Drosophila melanogaster: one gene and its partners. The protein of the gene in region 3 purifies or fractionates together with the protein of the main gene of each other region. This does not show direct contact. Each region holds a gene or a part of one and is shown on either strand. Other genes may lie near its edges.

Region 1 (6,703 bases), on a different chromosome or scaffold from region 3:
TCCCCACACACAAACACACACCCTTCCACACTTATTGAATCCAATCCCCTTTCGATTCCAGCACAGCACCAAGCAGAGCATTCGATTATGGTGGCAATATGCCTACAAGTGCGTCACGCCCTCCGCCTCGGCCGGTGCCGTCTGGAATCCGAATCTGAAATTCCGGCTCTACTGCAGCCGGCAGCTGCGCATCCGGAAACTGAGACGTGGTCCGTGGTCCAGGAGGCAGCCACTCCGGCTGCATATAAATGACATCAAACTGATGTGCCAGGTGCGCAGGCGCAGTAAATAAATGAGGCGATGGCAAAGCCCTAAATGATCTGAAAAAATTCCATTATACGAATTATATGTTATCAAAGTTTAGTCGAATTTCACAGAAAATTCTGTTTGAAATTTGAACAATAAACTTGGCGCCATTTATCGATAGACCAAGCCAACCAGTTCTGCAAACGGTAAAATTTTATATTTTATAAGTACCAATTTTAAAACACTTTCTATTATTGTATTAAAACGTCTCATCATTTTCTTTATTTTGTTGAACTAATACTTTTTGGTTCAATAGTCTTCCCAAAAATTAAATAATAAGTGCTTGTAAATAAATATGAACTTGTTTATTTTGCCTTTAGCATGGAATTACATCCAAAGAAACAGAAAATAAATATATTAATTCTTAAATAGATATCTTTTATGTAGCAAACAAGAAGTCAAGGATATTTAATTTTCAAACAAAAAAAGTGGGAAAACGAGGAACATTTTATCAATACGATTTTGAAACAAAATGAATTTCGCGCGTTGTTCATAAGCAAATTGGAATCAATTATTAAGGAATTATAATTATTATATTTAATCCCTACCAACTTATAATAGCTAGGCATATTACACTTTAAATTGTGCTTCATTGATTGAGTACAATTGCAAGCACTTAATTCAATAAAACGCAATTGAAAATGGTCCGCCAGTGTCCTGTGTCCTTCAGTGAGTTACACGGTTGAGTAAATATATAGTAGTGCATATGCGATACGTCTATATAGTTATGTTTTAGTAATGCTGATGTCCTAAGTGAAGTCTATTTAAATGCCACAAGTTCGGTGATGTGTGTCCCAATCGCTCAGCTATAACGAATGTATTATAAAAGATAGGTAAACATGAGTACTTTTCCTTCAATGCGTCACTGGATAAAACAATTTAAAAAAATGCATAAAATACATAATAAATCCTACAATGCTTACCTGGCATTCACGACTGCAGTACCATTGATTCTGACAGTTGGAGCACATAAAGGTGGCTCCATAGAGCTTGCACTCGTGGCATTGTCTACCTGTGTTACCGTTGATGGTGGCGGAAGATTCAGCCTGGGACTTATGGGAGCTCCTATGCTTGTGAGACTTGTGCTTATGCGACTTGCGCTTGTGAGACTTGTGCCTCTTTTGGACATTCTCATGGTCGTTGATATTAGCGGAATGTTGTTCTTGGTAGGACTGAATAGAAACATTTATTTTCGCGGAATGTCAAAAAATATTGTGATTAAGTGCATACCTGTCTATTGGCCAGTTGGCGACGGGAGGCCATCGGACTGCTGTTGAACAGCGGTTCGATCTGTGATTCATTATCCGAATTATTGTCCTCCATTGAGACGTTACTAAAATGCGAATAATTTTTCCAAGCCCTAATCTTGCGAAGCGTCTCTGAAAGATTGGCTGACAAATGTGTCGAGGAGCTTGCCATGTCCTGGTTACTATAAATTATATGACGTTAAAATAATATGTTCTAGTATATTATTTGTATTTTCTCACCTGTCTTGCGAGTGGATTAGCTTCGGTCGCTTGGCTGGCGGATCTCTGTCTGGATTGCTATCTAGCAGATGGTCATTTACCGCATTCCGAGATTCGTAATGCTGATCCCGCATTGATAGATGACTTACGGGCAAGGAATCTCTACGAAAAAGCATTTGGTCATCCTCGAAATTGGCCGGAGACACGGACGGTGCGCGTTTATTTAAGCCCAAGGAACTGAAAACGATCAATTTTAACTTGGGATTCTCAGAATTAAACATTTAAAGATTTACCCCCGCAGAAGCTGTATGATGTTCTGGTTTAACTCGGCGTAATTCAGTAATTTTTCAATTGCCGACAAACTATGTTTGGAGGCCATTGGAGAATCGATTTCCTCTTCTAGCATAGCCTTTACCTCACTGAGCTCCTTGGTGCCGCACTTGTTGATAAGGATGGGCAGTAGGTCCTTAATACGTATCAAGCGCTCCTTTCGCTCCATTCGTTCATGCAGCTCCTTCTTAATGCAGCTCAAATACAGCAGTCGGTTATATTCATCCTCTTTCTGGGCCATCAGCTTATCTAGGGCTGCAAGATCCGCAACGATGCGTTCGCGCTCTTTTTTCAATGAATCTTCATCAGGGGGTACCGAGTTAATTTTATCAATCATTGTCGAGTTCAATTCATCGAAAAGTTCTTTGACGCGATAATGGAAGTTTGCATCACTATTATTGAGATCAACGAATGACTTTTGGCGGGTTGTCGAAGAAGAAGCCGCTGGTGACCCCAAGCCCTGCGTCTGGGTGCTCACCGTTTCCGATCGACGGGGTTGCGGCTGTTGGGGCACCGCAAAGTTGGGAGCAGCCACTGGAACAGGATGCAGTTGAGATGGCGATTGATGGACCTGCTGTGATTGGGCAAGCTGATGTGGACTAGCATGCCTTTGAGGGGTCAACGGCTGCACCGAAGCTGGTCTTGATGAATCTGGCTGCTGTGGTGGAGGAGCTAGCTGCTGTGGTGGAGGAGCTAGTTGCTGTGGTGGAGGAGCTAGCTGCTGTGGTCGAGGCGCTAGCTGCTGTGGTGGAGGAGCTAGCTGCTGTGTTGGAGCTAGCTGCTGTGGCGGAGCCATATGTTGTGGTGGAGCCATATGCTGTGTGGGAGCTCGCTGTTGTGGCGGAGCCAGCTGCTGTGGCGGAGCTCGCTGCTGTGGCGGAGCTCGCTGCTGTGGTGGAGCTAGCTGCTGTGGTGGAGCTAGCTGCTGTGGTGGAGCTAGCTGCTGTGGTGGAGCTAGCTGCTGTGGCGGAGCTAGCTGCTGTGGCGGAGCTCGCTGCTGTGGTGGAGCTAGCTGGTGTGGTGGAGCTAGCTGGTGTGGTGGAGCTAGCTGCTGTGGCGGAGCTCGCTGCTGTGGTGGAGCTAGCTGGTGTGGTGGAGCTAGCTGGTGTGGTGGAGCCAGCTGCTGTGATGGAGCTAGCTGCTGTGGAGATGGTCTATGTTGAGCCAGGTGCCGTGGTGGAGCGAATGGAGCTGTAGCCAGTTGCTGTGGAGGAGCTCGCTGCTGTGGTGGAGGAAGCTGCTGCGGTGGAACTGATCTTGGGAAGTGCATCTGTTGCACGGGGGCTTGTTGTAGTGGAGCAACCTGAGATGGAGCTCTCTGCGCGAGGGCAGCCACTTGTGGTGCAGCAGCATAGGATGCAGCGACTTGGGATAAAGCTGTCTGTTGAATCGAGAAAGTCGCATTAGCTTTCATGTTATTTGACAGCTTTTCGTTGGGATAGGATATCTGCATTTGGGTGGCCGTTGGCGGTGGAGTATTTAAACTGTAAGTGTCAGCTTGCTTGGCGGCAGTAGGCGGAGCCAGGGTATACGGTGTGCTCAGCTTAAAAGCCTGCTGACGCTGAAGAGGATTAGTCGATGGAGTGGTGGGCATTCTTAGATTTAATGGTGGAGCTGCCTCCATTGGCTTCTGTTGCTGCACCGTTGAAAACCCAATTATATTATCATCCTCGACTTCATTGTTGCGCTTCTCTTCGCTAGCGGGCGGTGTTACCGAACGGCGTCTTTTAAGAGTGGCATCAACCACAAGCGACTCTGCCTCATTTGGCGCATCTCGCGACCGGTCCTTTAGAGCCTGTTCCAATTCCCGACACGCTGAGAGTTTACCGTAGTCGAAGACCGGTTCCTGGGGATCCTTCTTTACCAGGAACTCGTCGAGGATAGAGGCACCGTTTTCGTTGTTTCCAAGTGGGTTTGCTTTCTTCCTTTCTGGCAGCTCGTAGTTTAGTTGGGGTGGAGCCGGAAGCGTAGGCTTATTTTCCTTGATGGGCGTAACCCTTGCCGGCTCTTGCTCTGGTTTCTCAGGCGAATCCTCGTTCTCCGTGTCGTCAAGGCAAATGAGTTCCGGCGAACCACTGCCGCTGCGGCTGCGAGAATAGCTACGACTACGACTGCGACTGCAACTTCGGCTAAGACTGCGGCTGTGGCTGCGACTACGACTGATGCTCCTGCTGTCGTAGGTTCTGCGCTGCCTGTCATGGAAGCGAACCAGGTGCTTCAATTTACGCTTGGGCAGCAAGTCCTTCAGGCCGTCAAAATAGCTGTTGTAGTCCATTTTATTGGGTCGCAGCCTGAAGTGTGATCGGATAAGATAGGATTACAGTTTCAGTAGGTTCTTTGGGAAGTAAGCCTTACCAACGAATACTGCGACGCTTGAAGTAAAGATTGGGCAGCCTGCCACGCTGTAACTGCAATTGCCGGATCCGCCGAATTGTTTCTGAGCGCGTGGAAGGTGGCACCGCATCGTCATCTGGCTTTTCATTTTTCTCAGTGGCAGCCGCCGATTCTGGAGCTCCATTTCCGGGTTTCTCGGACTCGGATCCCTTGGATTTTGTCTTTTGGGGTCGTTGCTTGCTCACCGCCGCGTCCATTAGAGCGTCGTATTCCTCCTCCTCGTGGCTATACTCGTCGCTACTTAGCTGCGAATTGGAGGAGTCGTAGATCTCGTTGGACATTAGGCCTGCAACTGGACGACGGTCAGGTATGTACATCTTTTGGCATTAACCCCCTCAAAAACTCACGCGCTCACGTCTGCAAATTTTTGGCCAACAAAAAATCGTCTGCCGGTTGAATATTCTAATCCGCCGACGGGCTCACCTTTTCAGTTGCTGAAAACCACTTAAAACAATGGCCCAAGTCCCCAAATAGGCTAATTCGGGTTTATACCAGTTTTAAAGCGTTTACTTTCAGCAAAAATCCAATTTCCAAATGCGAAAAAAAATTCGCCGTTCAATTCTGCGAATAATTTTGACAGGCATTTAGTATGGACGCAAACCAATAGGGTAACCACTTTTGGGAAAGTCTTTAAATAATACTGAATAAAATATGTTCTTCCAACTAGTTCTTAGTTAGGTAAACCAAGCAAACAAATTTTTAATCTTATTAAATTAAAGTAATCTAGTAATCTTATTAAATATTACTAGTTTCGGGGTATTCGGTCATTTCATATCTAAAAACCAAATAACTATATTAGAATAAGTTACTCACTAGAGTTTCATTTTTTGATTTATGGAAAAGTTAGCGTAGATCAAAAATCAATCATTAATAAGCTATAAGTTGTAGTGCAGATCGTTAGCCAAATTATTCAGATTTCCTTTACAACATTGCAACCTGACAGCCCTGGTGGCAAATATTAAATATTGAAAAATACTAAAGGCAAAAGTGGCGATTTTCCGTTTGTTCACCGGTGTCATCGTCATTGCACTCGAACGGTCATACCGTTTGGCTTACAAAAGAAAACAAATCAATTCGCACAAAAACATTGCCAAAAAGGTAAATGGCGGGCACGACGCCGCCGAGTGATAACCATATAGTAGTGACCAGTGTTTAGCAACCGATTCCCGCCCAGTGACACTCGTAAACAAAGGGCACGACCGACAGTGTCTGTATATATATGTGCATATGCGTAACAGGGAATAACCGATAAGAACGGCGCAGCTGCAGATAGACATACCTTTAAATAGGACTTTGTTTATTGATCGTTTGTGGGTGGCTATTGCCTTGCAGATCGCGAACTGATAACCATAAATGTTAACCACGTCACGCCACCCCACGCCTCTCCCAAACACACACACTCGCACACGTGCGCCAGCTGAGCACATGCATACGTATATGCATGCTCACACGCACACAATCGCATGGTCGTGCACAAGAACTCTTTTGTTGTATGTAAAGTGGACGATCGAAAAAGTAAACTAATTCAATACAATGGGTTCAGCAATCAACGTCGGGGTCACCAATTGAGTGCATCAAAAATACAATCAATTCGGCCCGGCGAATTTTCGGTTGATTCAGCTAATGGCGGTGTGCATAAGAAATGGCATGAAAAGTACTCCTTTTTTCATTGGATTTAAATCCCATTATCATAGGAAGAAATAAGAAATTTAAAAAAAGCAGTGCTTGTCAACTGAATGCATTCATTTCTATTACAAAAACGTAGTGCGTTCCATTGTGCATGTAAATATATGCAGTCCCAGTTTTATATTACGTGTCAAAACAAAAGATTGACCTTTATCATTGGTCGTTTTACAACCATTGTTTATAACTTTGTAGAAATACAAATAAAAACTTCTTTGATAAACTTTATCCGCTGACATGTTTTAAATCATAATTTAAGTAAATCATGATCATTTAAATAATAATCTCAATATATAATACCTATTACTTTAGTTTATTTAAAATCCGAAAATCGTTTCGAAACTTATTTAAATTTGCTTAAATTGAAATATCTAAAATATCCGAAGCCAAGTATTATTTAATAAGAAATATGAATAGCTAAACGCCTTAATGAAATGATTTAATTAGTTTAAAGTTTTAAAGTTGTCGTTTTTACTCATAATTAAAACGGTCGTAAAACTTTAGTACTTTTTTAAAACATCTCC
Region 2 (7,883 bases), on a different chromosome or scaffold from region 3:
GAAATGGCCACGCCCAGTGGTGCCGTCGCCGCCGCTGTGGTGGTGGACACGCACAGCAACTACATGCTGGCCACCGATGAGGCGTATGTGACGTATGTGAATCCCAACGGGGTGGAGATTATGGAGATCATACCCGAGGAGGACGAGACGGTGTCCATGATGCGGTCGAGCAATGCGACCATCGACAATTATGCCATGTCCGCCTCGCAGATGTCGCACAAGTCCCTGTCCAATGGACGTCTCTATCCACTGACGCCCCAGCATCCTTTGGGCACAGGAACGGGAACTGGTACAGGTAGCTCCTCACCCCTACCTCCCGATTATGCCAACCTGGTGAGTAGTGCGCAGGCTTTGTGGAATATGGTGACCGGATGTGAAACCTTTCCGTATGCTCCTCATTTTCAGCGCCGCATCCGGCGGATGTCGCGTGCGGTAACCACGCACCTGTGGTGGAATCTGCTGGACAAGATCGCCATGCCGCTGCAGCAGGCGCTGCTGGTGCCGCAGCTGTACGCCACCACGCTGCTCCTCTCGGCGGACATCTTTAGCTACGTGATGTGCCTGACGGTGCTACCCGGACTGGCGGTCAGCCACCATGCGCTGAAGAACGCCGAGATCCCGTTCCTCTTCTCGCTGCTGGCCTTCCCATGGATGTGCTTCTCCCTGATGACTCCGCGCTTCGGCACGAGCCTCTATAAGCGGAAGCTCCAGTGGCACACGCTGGGCAGCATCTGCAAGTGCCTGGCGCTGATCTGTGAGTCATGATACCCGTTTCAAGCTTTCCCCGGGCCATCAATAGATCCATCTTTTGTTTCGCTTCCAGTCATCAGCTTCTCCACCTCCAAGCTGCTGCTCAGTGTGTCCGCCGTGCTGCTGGGATTTGGCCAGGTGGTGACCGCCTTTCTGCAGGAGCTGGTCTTCCAGATGGGCATGACGCGGGCCAACTGGACGGCCATCCGCCGTCCGGTGCACTTCACCAACGGCCTGCTGGTTCTCCTCTGGGGCGCGCTGGCCCACTGGGTGGTGGAGCGGTACTCCTTCCAGGCCACCGTGGGACTGGCCGGCGCCCTTTACGGAACTACCACGCTGCTCTGGAACTTCCTCTTCTTCTGCTGCCAGAGCAAGGATTGAGGGACTGAAGAATTCGCGCACTCTCACACAACAAGGCATCGTGTATGTGTGTGTGTGTGTGTGCTGCTGTGGCTGACGTTGTTGTTGTATTTGTGCAGTGATATTAATAAATAAATATATAAACTATAAGCAAGCTACATACATTTTAACATAAGTCTTAAAAGTCTTATTACGTCAATTTGAAAAAAGAATGGAATGCTGGCCTTTAAAATATCCCTAAAGAACTGCTACAGAAGTAGCTATAGCCTTTTAGCTATTTTTCCATTAAGCTGTGCTGACTACTGTACTTTGGAAATGTGGACAGTTTTTTTCCGATTAAAATAAGTTTAAAAGTATAAAATGTTGCGTTCATTCTAGAGATTGGTTCAATTTTTTAGAAATCTGTCGCACACTAAAAAAAATGCATGTTCTTACAAAATTCGCTGTGTAAGAAATATTGAAAATATTGAAATATTATTGGAAAATATTGACGAAAAATTTCCCTTTTCACCGAATTTGTCGTATTTTTACAGTAAGACTAAATGCCGTTATTTCCTCAGATATTTCTAGGTAATTACATTCGCTGCGTGACGAAAGCTGCCTGCTATGATGCGGCAGCCAGACCCAACACTGTTGGCCGATATCGATTGGTTTGGTATTATAGAGCAATATCTTGTACGGTCATACTAAGGCACCAGTACGCCAAAACCGAAATTTTCTTTCTTTACTCAATTTTCATCGAGCTAAGTTGCGAAAATTTTCTCAAGTCACAGTGAAAAGTGTACATTGTTTAAAACCTGGCCAAGGGGTAAGTGTTTGTTGCAAGGCGCTTGTGGTGTGGCACTCAGTGCGGTGCAATAGCAGCGTCGGCATTTTCCGGCGGCCGCAGAAGTGGCACCAAGCAAAGACGGCGAAAAACAGCGAAAAATGCGCAAAATCGGGCTTCCTTTTTGCCGGCTCGTTTTCCTTTTTTGCTTATTCTTCTTCTTGCGATTCTTGAAAGCGAATGCGTGTGGAAAAATAATTTCTGATTAAATTTCAATTTGCAGCTAAAAGTAGCGAAAGCGGTAGCGAACACACGCATGTCGCTGCCTCCCGAGGACACCGATTTGTCCACAAATTCCGCATACGAATCCGCACTCCAAATCGCGAGCAATGTGTCGGCAGCACGAGTAGTCGGTTCGGCAGTAGGACAGCGATTTTCGCCGTCGCCAGCAGCTCACCCGAACGTGATTGAGCGCGTCGCGTCTCATGTGGACTCACGCCGCAGCACGTTTCCAAGTTGGGGTAATCCGTCAGTAGCGCCAAGAGGATCGGAAGAAGCAGCAGCCAACGCCACAGCAACACAACTCCTATGGGCGGAGAACCAAGGTCTCCCGACATCGCACTTATTGCCAACTGAACAGGCATTCGAGACATTGAACACTAATGCGTATTGTTCCCCGCCAGGGGATTCACGATTTACGTTCCCTAGCCAGAACTACTCGCCGCTGCTGCCGCGGTGTGTCCCAGTTCCGAATCAGCGTTACTCTCCAGATGGATCGCCAATACATCAACTCCATGAGCTGCAAAATTGTCCATTGATAGATTCGCCGATAAGACTGCGATTTCCATCCCCCTTGCCAGAACCACCATCACTACCGACCATCACCCTTACAGTTGATGCCCTGATCGATCTTGACCAAAACAACCAGGTCGCATATTATGTCCAGCAGTACAACAATCAGCCAGTCCTATATCAACAAAACATTCATATAGGAACGGGAATCCAACTATGCGATCAGGCCTCCGAGAATAATCAACCGATTATATTACATATCGTGGAGCACAATCCCCAGACTATAACTGAGAGCCAGGAGCAATTCCACCAGGTTGTCCCCGAAATTCAAATCAATAATATCCAGGAGCAAGATCAGAAATTTGAAAATGGCATCTCGGAACAAAATCATCCGATTGCAACTGAGGCTCAGGATCAGACTTTAACTGAGATCCGGGATGAAAACCAGATTGTCCTTGCAGTCCAAGAAAAAAATCTCACGCGTGCCTCTGAGATTCAGGACCAGAACCAACAGACATTAACCGAGATCCCAGAGAAATGTCTTCAGATTGCATCTCCTGTCACTACTGATATACAGGTACAAAGTCCTCAGGTTGTAATAGAGATCCAGGAGCAAAATCACCAGTCTGTAACGGAGATCCAGGAGGAAGTTCACCAGACTGCCCCCGAAATCCAAGTGAACGTTTTCCAGACCTCGTCTGATATTCAAGGGCAAAATCACCAGATTGTAACTGAAGAGCAAAATCATCAGACTATAACCGAGACCCAGGAGGATTACTCGGCTGTCTCCGAAATCCAATGGGAAAATCTCTCGTTTTCTGCTGAGATTCAGGAGCAAAACCAGCAGATCGTAACCGAAGTTACGAAGCTTGCATCTCCTTCTGTTACTGATATACAGGCACAAAGTCCTCAGTCCGTAATCGAGATCCAGGATGACGATGATGAAGATCTAAAGTTCGAATCTGATGATCTGCACACTATACCTGAAATCCAGGAGAAAAACCAACAAAGTCCTCAGTTCGTAATCGAGATCCATTATGATAATGAAGATCTAAAGTTCGCATCTGATAATCAGGAGCAAGATCAACAAACAGCCGAGCTCCAAAAGGAAAGGTTCCAGTTCGCATCTGAAATCGAGAAGCGAGATCTGCAGATTGTTACTGACACTCACAAACAAAATTATCACAATGTAACCGACATCCCGTTCGCAACATACATCCAGGAGGAAAACGAGCAGTTAACACCGGAAGACCAAGAGGAAGATCAACATTACCTGAATTTTGAGGGGAACCAACAATTCCAGCTCCAGAAGCAAGATCAGCTGAGTGTACCACAGATCCAGAAGCAAACCCACCAGTTCGAATCTAAGGTCAAAAAGAGAAAGTTGCAGCCCTTTTCTGAATACCAGCAGAAAGGTCAGAAAGATCATATCCAAGAGAGGCAGTATATTCAGCAGGAATTCACCATCCACTCTAACCAGGCTTATTCTAAGGTCCAGTATATACAAACTATACAAACTGCGACTCCGTACGTACCTCAATTGGAAATATCCCAGGAAAACAGTTTTGAGGTTCAACCAGCATACGAGGTAAACGAAGGCCAACGGGACAGAGAACTGGTTAGTTACACAGGCCACGAGCATCAGAACTTTGTTGATGAGGTCTCGACACCATTACCGCCCGCTGAAGCTCAACCAGGATCTACTTCAGAAGATATATCAGACCCCGTTTCACCTGAACATTGGGAGCAGCTAGAGTCACTCGATCCGAGCACTATTTGTATTCGCAAAACCTTCAATCTAATTCGCGATATCTCTGAAAGTCTGGTGGCCGATCCAGAGCAACCCGAAGCCGAAGCCCACCGGAAGTCAATTTTCCTTCTCCGCCAGAAGCTAGCCGATGTGTGCCATAAGGTTCTAACCGAAATTATACACGGCCGGGCCACCGATGAGATCATCTCCATTCTGAGAGAGATTCTCGAGCAAACTAAGGAAATACCTCCACGCCCCACGCCGAAAAGAGACCTCCAAGAAGACATTTCGATGGGCTTAGAAATATTAAAAAAGATCCGTGGTATGCTATCCGGTTGGTATTCTTCCAGAGAAAGCGAAACGGACTCCACGGATACCGGAACGGGATTCCAGGCTCAAAACGGAAAAGGTTTTGGTGCCGGCCGCCAGCCGGAAAATAGTTTTTTATCCCAGAAAAGACGGTAAGCATTAAGAATTTTATGTTATTTTTAATTTTGTTTACCTAAATCCAACTAGGTAAGCCTGCGCAACAATTTTATGTCATTCATTGCTACTCCCATGTAAAAATTTCAATTAATGTTTTTTCTCTACTTTCAGCAACCAAGAAGAGAACCCTCGTCTGATCAAGTACCGGCGTGTGGACAACAGCTTTCCCCGCTTGATAACGAATGAGACGGCCGAGGACCTGATTCCCAACAATTCGATGGCCAAGCGGGATCAGCCCCAGAGCTCAAAGCGGCTCTCAATATTTAATCCGCCGGTATACACGCAGCACCGAGTGCGCAATGATGCCCCCCACGTACCTACGCCATTTGACGATGAGGAGTCGTCACAGAGACTTGCTAACGCGGGCCCATCATCCAGGCCCATGACTTACTCGGATGCGGTGCGTCTAGGCCATAATGGCATCTCCGAGTCGCGCGTAAATGGGCACTCCAGCCATACGGTGCGCAGAGAACCGTCTCGGCTGCACAGAAGCATTCTGTCCCACGAGATGAACTGCAAGGATCAAGAGCAGTATAACGAACTTATCCGTACCCAAACAAATTACGTGGGCAGTCGCTACCTCAAGCCGGGTACCCCGCCAACGTTTCAGCGGGCTAAAGCCCAGTCGGCAACCAGTAGCAGCTGCTCACTGCAAGACAACCAATCGAATATAACAGATTCGTTCCCGTCGCCACATGGCCGTGCGAACCCTGAGCTAACGGAGTACGCCAAATTGATCAACCGCCAGGAGAATGAGGAGAACAGGTCTCCGGCACCACAGCAGCCAAAGCGAAACGCTAGCAATAGCTCTGCCAGCCATGCGTCCACTATTTCCAGCAGCGCATCTTCCTCCTGCAGCACTTGTTCAACTTGCTCATCTTCTGACACTGAGCCAATGTTGGTTAAAGATAGCCCGGAGGTCAAGGAAGCCAACGAAGCCAACGAGGCCAACGAAGCCAACGAAGCCAACGAAACCAAGGAAAAGTAAATAAATGCTTTATATCCAAACGTAAATAATTTGCAATAATCAAAAATCCTGATTTTATCACCAATTAGTGACGCACCTCAACCTACAACTACCAGAATCAAGAAACCAGACTTCTTGCACCGTCGCTTTGCCAACTGTATCTTTCTAAGGAATGACTTTGCGGAAAATTTCAAAGCAAGAGCGAATCGCCGGCAACTTGAATCCATGCATCTTCTTGGAATAGCTGAACAGCAGTAAGTATTTGTAACGCTATAATTAGGCCCAGTACCAAGAGGCTTTTTTCCAATTTTAGGGCTAATGAAAGCAAAGATGAACGCCTTGCCTATGAAAAAAAGCTGCGGGAAGTCATGTTCCGGTCTGGTGCTCCCCACCGGCCCTTTTTTGAAATCGGGCCCCTGGAACAGCCGGAAGAGAAGAAAGAGACCAAGCTCATTCCGCTAACAAAGGAGGACCACGCTCGCTTTCAAGAAATGACAACTATTGAGGTTACGACGGTAAACGAATATATTTATTTATTTATATGTGTACCCATTTAAAACGTTTATATGCTTGCGCTTTAAAATCTTATTTCAGAACTTAATTTTCAAATATAACCTACAAATAACTACCGACGACATATTCACGTTTGTTGATGGCGAATGGCTTAACGACGCGATCATCAACTTTTACATGTCCATGCTGACGGAACGCTCGGAGAAGCGAGCTGGCGAACTTCCCGCCACTTACGCCATGAACACATTCTTCATGCCCCGTCTCCTGCAAGCTGGGTATGCAGGCGTTAGGCGCTGGACTCGCAAAGTGGACTTGTTCAGCAAGGACATAATACCGGTGCCAGTGCACTGCGGCAACGTCCACTGGTGCATGGCCATCATACACTTGCGTAACAAGACAATCTTCTATTACGACTCAATGGGAAGACCAAACCAACCGGCGCTTGATGCTCTAGTTAAATATCTGCACGAAGAGTCACTAGACAAGCGCAAACAGCCGTTTGATATGACCGGTTTCGTTGTCGAGAACGCGCAGAATATACCACGTCAAGGGAATAGCAGCGATTGCGGTGTCTTCAGCTGCATGTTCGCCGAGTATATAACGCGTGATGTTCCGATTACCTTCTCCCAGGCGGAAATGTTGTACTTCCGCACGAAGATGGCCCTGGAAATCGCCGACGGAAAGTTGTGGCAGTAGGGGTTCAAGCACAAAACTACGCAAAAATGGAGAATTCAGTTCTTTACTTATTTTTACAAATCTTACGTAAACACTCCAAGCATGAATTCGCGACAAGTACTTAGCCATCGAACGAACTCGTTTATTCGATAGAATCGAGATGGCTGAGACCCCTGCTGGTGCATTAACTTGTTCTCATATCTGATTGTAAAAGAGAATCTATTTCTTCAATAAAATGTCACCAAGTAAAAGCGATGCGAATAAGGATGTATTAATCGCCGAATATCTTCAAGTTTATAATTAATATTTAGAATACAGCAAGCTATGAATATGTACTAATGTAATGTAATGTACTGCTCTAATCCTAACTCTAAACTAGGAATTACTGGATTTCATATTTTTTTCTTACATTGTCTTTTCTGTTTCATATCGTTAAGTTGAAAAGATCAGAGCCGCTGATAATTGAAAATCATACTAATACTCCAGTTTATTTTTGAATTTATCGGTTTTTTTTTTTTTAAAGAAAATGTCGCTATATTCCTATAAATTAGATAATATTAATAAGGAATCAATCTTAATTTAGTATTTTTGAAAATGTAGCTTATTCAAGCAAATACTTATTATACAAATATAGGTAAATGTGGGTTAATGGTATTAGTTTTGTTTTTGTAAAGATTTTCTCTAACCCTTAGGAAGTAGTACACCTTTCATAACCTAAGGTACATAATGTAATATAATTTATTTTTGCAGAGCGAACTAAACAGAAATATATATTAAACAAAAAATATATGAAAATTCTATGATGCTTTTCAAATCATCCACAG
Region 3 (5,093 bases):
GATGCGGACGCGAGTGCGGAGCATCCGCAGCGATACGCCTTGCTAGATACACTCGCCAAAGGTTGTCATATGAAAAATTCACATAGATGGAGCAGAGTGCCTGTAGTTTAGGCCAGGCATGAATCGTATCCATTGCACCCATACTCAAGCAGCAAAATAAAAATTTGCCTAATCTTCTCTAGAAGTTGATTTATTCATGCATCCTGTTGTGTTGCTCTATAAAGAACCTATCTTTCGTTCAGCTGACCACGTAAAGAACAAAATATCTACAAAGACCAAGTCAAAGAAATATTAAAATATATTATAAATTTTACTTTGTTCAAATTGCATGTTATTAAAAAAAATCTATTACCTAGTATTATTTTTGATTATTTTGTTTCTACTGCTTAATTAAAAAATTCATTCCTACAGAGAATAATTATTTGTTACACGCAGCATTTTTATTATTAAGTTGTAGTGTTGGGTTAAACTTCTTTGGAAAAATATGACATAGGGTTAACTGTTTTAATGTTGGGAGAGGCTAACACCGTTGGTTGCAGATGTGAATGATGGGGGATGGTGATGAAGTGAGAACAGCTGATTTTGGCAAAGTAACTTGCGGTACCGTGGTGATCGGGAAAACTAAAACGGTTAAGCCGTAGTTGCCGGCTTTGCTTTGCTTTTAGCACGTTTGCACTTACCTCTCTGGCCATTACGACATGTTATCACCAGCGGCACCCGCTTAGAGGGTCTGCCATTTGCTCAGCGGCAATAACAACAAAAACAACACGGGAGCGCCTCTTAGAGCGAGGGAGTGGGAGAGGCAACAACAAAGCACACGCTTTTCGCGATACGAGAACTCTCGTGCGTCTACTTAAGTATGTGTGTGTGTAGGCGGCAAGCGGTATAGACGGAGAGACAGAGAGAAAGAGTGTGGGAGGAGTGTGTGCGTGTGAGTGTCTCAAAAATTCTCTACTACACGTTTATTTTCAATCTTCTCTTCCCGCACATTTCTCCAACGCGCCGATGCTGTTTCGTTCTTCCTCTTGCTTTTCTATCCTGTCCTTTGGCTTCCTTTCCTTCTTCCTCTCCACACCAATCACTGCGTGGGTATGTGTGTATAGGTGTGTATTGGAATTCGCAAAGGTATTTGATTAGGAAAGCTGGGATTTGTTTAAACAATTAGCATGCATCACTTTTTGCAAATTTGTTACAGTAACTTGGGTCAACCCACGCCCACTTTTATAGGTGCGGCTGTTGGGCAGGATTTGCTTTTTGGCAGTGGTGGTGGTGTACGTGTGCGGGATGCTTCTGTGTGCGTGCGAGAGAGCACATTGGAGTACCGTTATCGCTGGAGCCACATTTTCTTATTTGACATACACTTTTTTGTTGCACACGCACACGCGTTTCGTTGTTTTTTTTTTGTTACTTTAGTAAAATTTATTTTCTATACTCTCTTTCTTGAAAGCTTTCTTTTAACCGTTTTTTGTCCTTATCTCTTGGTATGTACGACACACACGCTTCACATACGTTCTAGTTTTTGGCAGTTGTTCAATTGTTCGAATTAATTCCGATTTCGGAATTTGTTGTTTTAACGATTTATGAGTTTTTTCGGTGCGGAAACAATAACATTTAATTCATTTTAAGCCGAGAAGAAATGCAAATCAATTTTTATTTTCGGCAACACTCGAAGAACTATCGTTATCGATTGCGATTTCTTTTACCTGTAGTATTTCGTGTAACATACTTTTGGGTGGTGCAGAAAAGAGTCACGCTCGAATATACTAAACTGGGCTGCCAACTTAGCTTTTGATTTGTTTTCTTGATTTTATATTAACACACCAAATAAAGAAATTGCTTAAGACAACTGTCCCTTTTAAGATATTATTTCCCAGATTAATATACGTATATTTGATTATTGGTGACAATTTTGGATACAAAAGCCAAAGTTATCGGCCACTTTAATACTAATAAAATATGACCAATATTTGGCATTTCTTGTCTAAATATTTGCAGCCACTCTAAGATTAATATTTTACCAACTTCTTTTAGCAATAAAAAGTAAATATCTTTACTGAAAACGTCAACTAAGGTCTCCCACATACAACTTAAAATGGACGACATACGTAGCAGCATAGATGATATGATGGACCGCTTTAACGACAGCATTACCCATTCGGCACCCAAGAAACTACTTTTCAACCGGCTTTCCGCCTCCTTCGATTTAGGAGTTTGTAAGTTGTAATTTACAGGCGCGAACGTAGAAACTAACAAGTAACTCCTCTACTAGCACCCAATAAGCGACGTCGGGAACGGGAATCACCGGAACGCAGTCTTAACGACACCGCCTCTTCCCTCAATATGCCCGCCAACGATTCCATGGCTTCTTTGCAGAACAGCAAACTACGGACCGAGCTGATCGAAACCAAGGCCATAGTAATTCAGCTGCGTAACGAAATCGAAAAGAAGAGCCGGGAACACAAAGAGGCCATATTGCTGGCTGAGAACAAGAGCACGGCCTTAAAGGATCAGTGCGACATCACCAGCAAGAAGAATTTGGAGCTGCAGGACGATCTTAAGGCGCTTCGTAAGCGAGAGCTGGTCTTGAAGAATGAGGCCAGTCGGGCCACCGCCGAGTTGAACCAACTTAGGCTTAAGTTCGATGAATCCACGCTCAAGTTGCAGAAGGAGAAGTACCTGCAGAAGGAGGATGCCCGCGATGTGCACCTGTGCATCAACAACGAACTGAGCGAATATCGCCGCATAGCCCAGCGGGCCGATCTCGAACTGCAGTCTACGCGCAACGAACTGGAGCGCCTACGTCAACTCAATGAGGAGTTACAGGCCAGGGCTTCCGGATTCGAGCAGCTGCGCGCCAATCACGAGAAGCAAACGCAAAGCTTGAAGGTGGCCAACGATCGCATTCAGGAGCTGGAGTTCGAAATTCAGTCGTATAGCGACTGGAAGGAGGTGGTCAAAACCTCACGAGAGCGCCTGGCCAGTGTTCCAGATTTGCTAGCTGAGGTGGAGCATCTGCGCAGCCACAACAAGCATTTAAACACTCTGATAGGCGATAAATTGCTTCTGGAGGAGCAGGTCTACGACTACAAAACGCGACTGGAGCGGGAGGAAGGTGCTCGGGCGGAAGCAGCTTCCCTGCAGGTGAAACTGCTTCACATGGAGCAAGAACTCAAGGAATGGGTCAAGGTGGCCCAGGATCACTGCTTGGCCAACACTTTGGTCAGCCCAATGGCCCTACGCTCGCGCATTGAGCAACTGCTAAAAGAAGACATCATTCACGTGGCAGAGAAGACATCATCGGCTTCGGATACCAAGCATTTGAATGTAGGTTTTGTCCAATGTGTTCCAAGTCCAATTTATCTGACTCCATTTTATAGACCACAATTCGAGATCTAGAGCATAAGTGCGCCATTTACTTGAAGAACATCGAGGATCTCAATATCGGACTGAAACGCCACAAGAACTTCAAGGAGCGACTGCAGCGCAAACTGATCACCGTGTCTAAGGAGCGCGACTTCTACAAACAACTGGTGGAAAACTTCGACAAGGACACGACCCTGAGCAATGCCAGTGTGGCGGACATGACGCAGGACATGCAGGTGCGGGTCCGAATGGAGGTGCTTGAACGCACCGTAACCGGATACAAGGACATGTGTGCCACGTTGGAACGCGAGATTCAATCCTTGCGCCAGCAGGAGCTTGTGAACGAACCTGCCGGAGAGGGATACGATAGCGTCAAAAAGGAACTGGATACGCTGCGGATGGAAAACGATCGGCTGCGTCGGCGCAAGGAGGAACTGGAGATGGAGATGATGCACCGCTGCTTGCGGGGCGACTTCAACATGAAGGACTTCAAGGTGGTACACTTTAGTGAAAATCCCGCTGCCGAAGCCTATGAGTCCACCAAAAACATGATGGAGAAGCTGCAGGCGGAGATTGAGCGACTCAAGCGGCGCAACAAGAAGTTGGAGGACGATAACGAGCAAAGGCTCAATGAAACCACCAGCACGGGCGGCATGACACTGAACTTTAAGGAGTTCAATCAACTTCAAGCCGAATTAGAGTCCGCCAATGGCAAGATGCGGAAGATGAGGGATTGCTTCAAGGCGGCCCGAGAGGAGTTCCGCGATGTGTGCTACATGCTGCTAGGCTATAGGATCGATCGAATCGGTGCCAACAGCAACTATCGGTGGGTAGCGATTCCATAGATCCTCCATCTTAGTTGCTAACATTTAATATTTCTCTTGCAGCATATCGAGCATGTTTGCAGAGGGACCGGATGACTATCTGGACATCAGCCTCAACGAATCGAACTGTTTGGCGCTACTGGAGTCGCCATATTCGCACACATTCAATCCACCTATTGATCAGCAGCTGGCAGCCAGCAACTTTCCCGCATTCTTTTCCGCCCTCACCCTAGAACTATTCCAAAAGGCCACTGTCACGATGACTTAGGTCATCATTACTTTAGTCTGTCTTAGCTTAAGCTAGCCGAGTATGAAGGCATTGAAACTTATTCTTGTCCGCATCAGATATACGATTGGTTTTTTATTTTACCACGCTAACAATAAACTTCCCCACATATAAATACATATAAATTATAGTAATGCACAATAGAAATTGGAATACCCAATCCACTAAGTGGAGGTCAGGATGTGAGCCACCTGCTCCGGCGTTCTGTGCAGCAGCTGCTCCGGCTGCTCGAAGCCGTTGGCCGGATCGTGGACGCGTTCGTAGATCTGCTTGTAGATGGCCACGATCACGTTGAAGGATCGCTTCTGAACGGCGGCCCGGTGACTGCTGGACATTATGAGCTGCACCTGCGGCAGGAGCAATACATCGGGTAGTTCCAGAAAGGCGTCCATCTTGGACATGAAGATCTTCAGCAGGTTTGTTTCTATTTTAGATTGATTGCTCTGCAGAATGGCGTAGATGGGACCCAGATTGAGGTTCGCCACCAGCGATGATGCCTGCTCGGAGGTCAGTGTGTCCAACTGGGCATCCGACTGCGCCTGCAGCCGCTCCACGCGCTCATCCATATATTCGTAGACAGCCAGCGAGCTTTGCATGTGATGCAGACAGTTCAAAAGGTA

What was found.
Region 1: the proteins of Mad1 (region 3) and RAF2 purify together in Drosophila melanogaster (affinity purification with mass spectrometry, with the first as the bait; one study listed by BioGRID). This does not show direct contact.
Region 2: the proteins of Mad1 (region 3) and Ulp1 purify together in Drosophila melanogaster (affinity purification with mass spectrometry, with the first as the bait; one study listed by BioGRID). This does not show direct contact.

What each region holds. Positions count from the first base shown.
Region 1 is NT_037436.4:16,384,711-16,391,413, reverse strand, and holds RAF2 (RING-associated factor 2), read right to left. Parts: upstream 5,088-6,703; 5' UTR 4,844-5,087; intron 4,789-4,843; 5' UTR 4,778-4,788; coding exon 4,458-4,777; intron 4,394-4,457; coding exon 2,066-4,393; intron 2,010-2,065; coding exon 1,794-2,009; intron 1,736-1,793; coding exon 1,537-1,735; intron 1,479-1,536; coding exon 1,230-1,478; intron 1,113-1,229; coding exon 1,071-1,112; 3' UTR 598-1,070; downstream 1-597. Other genes in the region: CG44836 (uncharacterized protein), read left to right, coding at 62-292; Agpat3 (1-Acylglycerol-3-phosphate O-acyltransferase 3), read left to right, coding at 5,960-5,986.
Region 2 is NC_004354.4:19,202,069-19,209,951, reverse strand, and holds Ulp1 (Ulp1), read left to right. Parts: upstream 1-1,764; 5' UTR 1,765-1,918; intron 1,919-2,159; 5' UTR 2,160-2,192; coding exon 2,193-4,879; intron 4,880-5,015; coding exon 5,016-5,888; intron 5,889-5,960; coding exon 5,961-6,125; intron 6,126-6,184; coding exon 6,185-6,386; intron 6,387-6,465; coding exon 6,466-7,080; 3' UTR 7,081-7,849; downstream 7,850-7,883. Other genes in the region: CG14195 (uncharacterized protein), read left to right, coding at 1-333, 406-754, 824-1,131.
Region 3 is NT_033778.4:9,288,457-9,293,549, reverse strand, and holds Mad1 (mitotic arrest-deficient 1), read left to right. Parts: upstream 1-1,984; 5' UTR 1,985-2,092; coding exon 2,093-2,213; intron 2,214-2,269; coding exon 2,270-3,324; intron 3,325-3,377; coding exon 3,378-4,189; intron 4,190-4,250; coding exon 4,251-4,455; 3' UTR 4,456-4,593; downstream 4,594-5,093. Other genes in the region: Cog6 (component of oligomeric golgi complex 6), read right to left, coding at 4,638-5,093.